Linked DNA regions of Macaca mulatta. The protein of the gene in region 1 purifies or fractionates together with the protein of each later gene. This does not show direct contact. Links are inferred from orthologs where the notes say so. Each region holds a gene or a part of one and is shown in the gene's direction. Other genes may lie near its edges.

Evidence for each region.
Region 2: the proteins of TARDBP (region 1) and HNRNPH1 purify together in Homo sapiens (affinity purification with western blotting; 3 studies listed by BioGRID and IntAct, with this or other methods). This does not show direct contact. The link is inferred for Macaca mulatta from reciprocal best matches to the Homo sapiens genes TARDBP and HNRNPH1.

The regions. Positions count from the first base shown.
Region 1 is NC_133406.1:229,708,405-229,712,029, reverse strand, and holds part of TARDBP (TAR DNA-binding protein 43), read left to right. Parts: intron 1-1,835; coding exon 1,836-1,999; intron 2,000-3,406; coding exon 3,407-3,547; intron 3,548-3,625. UniProt on the Homo sapiens protein: RNA-binding protein that is involved in various steps of RNA biogenesis and processing.
Region 2 is NC_133411.1:188,578,616-188,582,240, reverse strand, and holds part of HNRNPH1 (heterogeneous nuclear ribonucleoprotein H), read left to right. Parts: intron 1-389; coding exon 390-545; intron 546-751; coding exon 752-895; intron 896-2,380; coding exon 2,381-2,519; intron 2,520-3,467; coding exon 3,468-3,625. UniProt on the Homo sapiens protein: This protein is a component of the heterogeneous nuclear ribonucleoprotein (hnRNP) complexes which provide the substrate for the processing events that pre-mRNAs undergo before becoming functional, translatable mRNAs in the cytoplasm.

The DNA.
Region 1 (3,625 bases):
GGTGAAACCCCGTCTCTACTAAAAATACAAAACTTAGACAGGCGCGGTGGTTTGCATCTGTAGTCTTAGTTACTGGGGAGGTTGAGGCAGGAGAATTGCTTGAACCCAGGAGGTGGAGGTTGCAGTAAGCTGAGATGGTGCCACTGCTCTCCAGCCTGGGCAGCAGAGCGGGACACCGTCTCAAAAAAAAGAAAAAGGGCCGGGTGCGGTGGCTCAAGCCTGTAATCCCAGCACTTTGGGAGGCCGAGACGGGTGGATCACGAGGTCAGGAGATCAAGACCATCCTGGCTAACGCGGTGAAACCCCGTCTCTACTAAAAATACAAAAAACTAGCCGGGCGAGGTGGCGGGCGCCTGTAGTCCCAGCTACTCGGGAGGCTGAGGCAGGAGAATGGCGTAAACCCGGGAGGCGGAGCTTGCAGTGAGCTGAGATCCGGCCACTGCACTCCAGCCTGGGCGACAGAGCGAGACTCCGTCTCAAAAAAAAAAAAGAAAAGAAAAAAATGTCATTTAATTTATCTCTCCAGGCCAGACACAGTGGCTCACACCTGTAATCCCAGCTACTCAGGAGACTGAGGCAGGAGAATCACTTAATCACTTGAACCCAGGAGGCAGAGGTTGCAGTGAGGGGAGATTACATCACTGCACTCCAGCCTGGGTGACAGAATGAGAATCCGTCTCAAAAAAAAAAAAAATTATCTCCCTTTCTCTTCTAAATAACCTAAGGTTAAGGTTGTGTAGGAGTTTTTTGTTGTTGTTGTTTGTTTTTTGAGATGGAGTCTTGCTCTGTCACCCAGGCTGGAGTGCAGTGGCGCGATCTTGGCTCACTGCAACCTCCACCTCTGGGGTTCAAGTAGTTCTCTGCCTCAGCCTCCTGAGTAGCTGGGATTACAGGCGCCTGCCACCACGACCGGCTAATTTTTGTATTTTTATCTATTTATTTATTTTATTTTATTTTGAGACAAAGTCTCGCCCAGGCTGGAGTGCAGTGGCACAGTCTTGGCTCACTGCAACCTCTGCCTCTTGGGTTCAGGCAATTCTCCTGCCTCAGCCTCCCAAGTAACTGGGATTACAGGCGCCTGCCACCGAGCCCGGCTAATTTTTTTGTGTGTTTTTAGCATAGATGGAGTTTCACCATCTTAGCCAGGCTGGTCTTGAACTCTTGACCTTGTGATCCACCTGCCTCAGCCTCCCAAAGTGCTGGGATTACAGGTGTGAGCCACCATGCCCAGCTGGTTATGTTTTTTTAAGTAAGCCAAACTTTTGGTTTCTTTTTCTTTTTTGAAATTAGAGATGGGGGCTCTTGCTCTGTTGCCTAGGCATATTGTAGTGGCTGTTCATAGACACCCTGCAGCCTCAAACTCCTGGACTCTAAGGCAGGAGTTTGTTGGAACTTCCTTCCTCAGCCTCCTGAGTTGTTGGAACTTACAGGCATATACACCACTGTGCCTGGTTTTCCATTTTATTGCAAAAGCTGTGTATTGTCGAATGTTTAGGAAAGATAAAAGTGAAATCTACATCAGGAGATACAAGTTGCTGATACTTAAAGTCAAAGTGAAGTAGAATTATTTTTGTTTTGATAAACCTTTTGAGAGAGATTGTAATCTGGAAGTACTACAAAAAACAAAATTGGAAATCACTGAATTTGCACCAGAAAAGCACCTCAGACACTAAACTTAAGCCTTTATTCTGTCCTCTAGAGCAAAAATCACTTCTTGCAAGTTTTCAGTGTCTTACTCTTCTTAGAGTCTTCTTTTTGCTTCTCATTTCTGGATGTAGGAGGTAGTGTTTTTAAAGAAGTGCTAAGTCTAAAAGGTTTCTGCTCATTTTATTTAGATAACAAAAGAAAAATGGATGAGACAGATGCTTCATCAGCAGTGAAAGTGAAAAGAGCAGTCCAGAAAACATCCGATTTAATAGTGTTGGGTCTCCCATGGAAAACAACTGAACAGGACCTGAAAGAGTATTTTAGTACCTTTGGAGAAGTTCTTATGGTGCAGGTAAACTTCGATTGCATCAAACAGTTTTTCTTTACAGTGAATGAGCATCTGGCATTTATTTATTGGTATACATAGAGATGGGGTCTCACTATGTTGCCTATGCTCTGGTGTTGAACTCCTGGGCTCAAACTGTCCTCCCACCTCAACCCCAGTGTGCTGAGCCATGATGCCTTAGCCACATTCTTGTTACTTTTTTTTTTTTTTTGGAGACCAAGTCTCACTTTGCTGTCCAGGCTGGAGTGCAGTGGCACTATCTTGGCTCACTGCAAACCTCCACCTCCTGGGTTTAAGCGATTTCTCCTGTCTTTAAGCGATTTCTCCTGTCTTAGCCTCCTGTATCTGGGATTACAGGCGCACATTATCACGCCTGGCTAATTTTGTATTTTTTAGTAGAGACAGGGTTTCACCAGTTGGCCAGGCTGTTCTTGAACTCCTGACCTCAGGTGATCCACCTGCCTTGGCCTCCCAGTGCTGGGATTACAGGTGTGAGCCACCGTGCCCGGCCATATTCTTGTTATTTTAATGGCACTGTACTTCCTGTTACACAAATGATACTTCCAATATTTGTTATATTTACACACATATCTTGTACTCTATATTATTACCTTCAATATTGTAAAATCCTGCTGTTGCGTGAAGGCTTAAGGGAATTAGGTGATAATAGCTTTTTATCTTTGAATTCATTCTAAGACATTCTGTTAAAATCCTGTTGTGGTGGCTCATGCCTGTAATCCCAGCATTTTGGTAGGCTGAGGTAGGAGGATTGCTTGAGGCCAGGAGTTCAAGACCACCTTAGCCAACATAATCCAGACTCAGGATTGCTTGAGGCCAGGAGTTCAAGACCACCTTAGCCAACATAATCCAGACTCAGTTTCTCTTTTTTTCTTTTTGGAGACAGGGTCTGGCTCTGTCAGCCAGGCTCTAGAGTGCAGTGGTGCAATTTAGGCTTGCTGCAACCTCTGCCTCCTGGATTCAAGCTATTCTTGTGCTTCAGCCTGCCAAGTAGCTGGGACTACAGACGCATGCCACTATACCTGGCTAATTTTTGTATTTTTTGTAGAGATAGGGTTTCACTGTGTTGCCCAGGCTGGACTTTAACTCCTGTGCTCAAGTTATCCAGCCTCCGAAAGCGCTGGGAATACAGGTGTGAGCCACCACGCCTGGCCCCATCTCTCTTTTTTTTAAGAACTCAAAAACATTTCTGTTGTATAAGTGAGTTTTGCTCTATTGTTAACACGGTATGGATTCAATATTAACCTCCTTGTTTTTACTCTGAAGACTAACTTGGTTTAAGTTTTAAACAACTGCATCCAGTTAAAACCATTCAAATTGTTTTTTAAGGAACTATGATTTGGGCGTGGAATGTGTATGTGTACTGTTAGAGTAAACTTAAATCATCCTTTCTAGGTCAAGAAAGATCTTAAGACTGGTCATTCAAAGGGGTTTGGCTTTGTTCGTTTTACGGAATATGAAACACAGGTGAAAGTAATGTCACAGCGACATATGATAGATGGACGATGGTGTGACTGTAAACTTCCTAATTCTAAGGTACTTGGGTCTGTGCTTTGGGATTTTTTGCTGACAAACTTCCTTAGAAGATTGTAAGATAAAATGTAAACACACTTA
Region 2 (3,625 bases), on another chromosome or scaffold:
GGTAAAACTTGACAAACGCGCCAGACCAGACCAAAGCAACTCGCAACGAAGTAGGTTTGCCATAAAGTCACAAAGTCCAGGCTTGATAATGTTCTGAGAAATTGATAAAAGATGTGTGATGTGGACATAAGTAGCAGGGACTTAAGAGAGAAATTCATTCTGAAACTGCTTTGAATATTGTATGTTGTTGATGGGTTGGAAATACATCACCTTGGGAATGAGGTTTTTTTTTTTTTATTGGAGTTCCAGGAGTTGGTAATACCATCATTATATGCAGGCTTCACAAGTTACGTAATTTGTAGTGGGGACACGGAATAGACATTTAATCTGTGTCACCCAGAGGTGGTTTTAGGTTTTAAATTCCGTATTAACGGTTGTTTTCTTTCCAGACTGCAAAATTCAAAATGGGGCTCAAGGTATTCGTTTCATCTACACCAGAGAAGGCAGACCAAGTGGCGAGGCTTTTGTTGAACTTGAATCAGAAGATGAAGTCAAATTGGCCCTGAAAAAAGACAGAGAAACTATGGGACACAGATATGTTGAAGGTTTGATTTACATTGCCCTAGTTACAGTAAATAAAGCATTAAACAATAGAGGTCTTACCCCTTCTGAATTTTAGGTATTTGACTGCATGGAAATGGTCATCTAAGGGAGTTTGTGGCAGCTCTTCCTAGCTTATCTAAAGACCCAGGAAGTCTGAACTTTGTTACCTAATTTTCCAAAAGTGACTAATTCTAAGCACCTCTTTCAGTATTCAAGTCAAACAACGTTGAAATGGATTGGGTGTTGAAGCATACTGGTCCAAATAGTCCTGACACGGCCAATGATGGCTTTGTACGGCTTAGAGGACTTCCCTTTGGATGTAGCAAGGAAGAAATTGTTCAGTTCTTCTCAGGTATGTAGTCCTGTTTGTTGATGAGCAGTGAGTTTTGGCTAGCTTCTGCAAGGTGATTTAATAGACCTTAAAGTTGAGTAGCTTAGGTATTTCAATAGGTTGTGTAAATTGCCAATGAATTAATGTTTTCTTCCTAGAGACCTTCAAATAATTTAAGCCCATCTTAAAGGTGGAAATGAAGTACTTCCAAAATGTTAACTTTGCCTATATTTAGTATTATAGTTCAGAGTAGATCTTTCATTGAGGATTGCCCTCAACAGCTTAACTGCTTTTCCTCACATTGGTGTCCAGCTAAGTACTTCACGTTAAAGGTAAGATCCCTTAACATCAGATTAGTGTGACGAATTAGGTTGTTGTAAATTATGGCAAGTGTCTGTGTTGTTGCAAGAGACACATTTGGGTCATGTGACCAGAATGGTCTAATTCTCTTTAATGCAGAAGTCGATTTATGAAAGACTTGGTTTAACCAGTGTGATATAAACTTACTGAAAATCAGATGTAGTGAGAGTAGTTTGAATGCTTGTAGTCTCAGTATCTGAAATAACAAAGTGTTTTGAAATTGTTCCTGGGCCTAAAGTATTTGAATGTTTTTATGCTGAAGAGCTGATAAGATTGCATGTTTAACAATGTTAGATATCGTATATTTTAAATAGTAATATTTATGATGTGATACACTGGAAGCAAGAAATCCTTTCATGGTTTAGTGTAGTATGTTAAAAATTTATATATGTATCAAGTCCTAATGTCAGAATTTTAAAAATCAAGTCTTGTTTTGTTTTTACTCTAAATTGGTGAGAATTGAATGCTATCTGTCAACGTTAAATATGAACATAATTTCATATCTTCTAGGAAAGTGCTTTAAGTCCTTTTTGTAAGCTTGGGAATGTATCCACGGAAAGGATTTTTCATAGACGGAATTTCCAGAAGTGAATCATAACTACTGTTAGAGCATAAGCATGCATGATTGTGCTGTGTAGATCAGTTTTGTTGAAAGTTTAGATTGTTATGTTTGTCAATTATAATTTAATGTTTTAGTTTTTATATGAAATGTTTAAATGTATACCTTTTTAAAGACGAAGTTCCAATAACTTAAAGCATTGAAATATAAAATGAGGTAAAAGGTGTTTTGAATTTAGTAAAACTGTTATTTAATGCTTAAAACTTAATTGAATTCTTGTATAATTCTCAACATTAAGTTGCATAGATATGTGTTCTTAAGTTGTTGAATTCTTAATGCATCCTGCGTTCAGCAAGTTTTTTTTTTTTTTAATTTATACTGTACCATGGGTGTGTTAAGAATAGTTATACTTCGTAATAATGGAACTTCATATTATTGCAATGCATATTTAAAGAGTACTTGTTGAAAGCATACCATTCACCTAAAGTTAAAAGTTCTGGTTTATTTAAAGCTATAAGAAGAATCATTTCTGGGCTTGTGATGTTAATATTGCCCCCCTACTGGGGTTATTTGTCCTTGGGTTGAAGGGTTGGAAATCGTGCCAAATGGGATAACATTGCCGGTGGACTTCCAGGGGAGGAGTACGGGGGAGGCCTTCGTGCAGTTTGCTTCACAGGAAATAGCTGAAAAGGCTCTAAAGAAACACAAGGAAAGAATAGGGCACAGGTGGGGATGGATGGTTGGTTGGATATGTCACTTTTCTTATGGTAAACAATTAAATCCATATTCTCTCTGCTTAAAAGAAGAAATTAATGTTTTGTAGTCCTAGGTAATTGATGTTTTGCCATGATTTCCAAACTTTTCTTGTGTCAGTCCCATGTTACACGCAAACTAAATTTTAGGTTTAAAATTTGTCCCTAGTTAATTGGTCTACTTGACAATTTTGTGAGTCTTATTAACCCCAATCAATAGAGTTGAGAGACTATGGCTTTAAAAAATTAATGCAAACCTGGCTTTAGCTGTAATAACACCCACCTAGAGTAAATTAATATTACCATAAGAAAATGTGATACTTTCTGATCTTGTTTTTAAAGTTGAAATGCAACAAACTTTTTCTTGCTGTATATAAATATTCTGCATAGTATTAATAAGCATAGCTTTCAAGAAATTGTCACAAAAGGTTTTATTCTCTTTGCTTGTGACTATTTTTCATTGAAGCATGCGCTTACCTATGCTGATTCTTACTAAAAGCATAGGCTGGGGTATTTATTGGCGAAAGGAAATGTGTAGTGTGGGCTAGACTGTTGGTGGAGGCTGGCTTTTTAGCCCACTTGCTATACATGCTGCCAATGGATTTAAGACTTGAAATGTTGAAAGTTGAGTGGAATTATTTCCCTCCTAGAACGTTTATTTACAGTACTCCTCTCTACCCCTAAGGTTGGGCTCTGCCTCAGGAGGAGTGAGTGTTTTTTTTCTGTAAAGTTTACATTGTCTTACTATTTATTGAGTGAATTTCTGGTCATTGCCTATGCAAATATAAGAAATCTGGCTTTAAATATTAGTCAGTTTCATGGCTATGACTAGATTGTATTTCTTGTGTAACTAAATACCTGTATAAAATGAACTAATGTTGTCTCTCCCCTCCCTACCCCTTCCTTATGAACGATGCTTTAGGTATATTGAGATCTTTAAGAGCAGTAGAGCTGAAGTTAGAACTCATTATGATCCACCACGAAAGCTTATGGCCATGCAGCGGCCAGGTCCCTATGACAGACCTGGGGCTGGCAGAGGGTATAACAGCATTGGCAGAGGAGCTGGCTTTGAGAGGATGA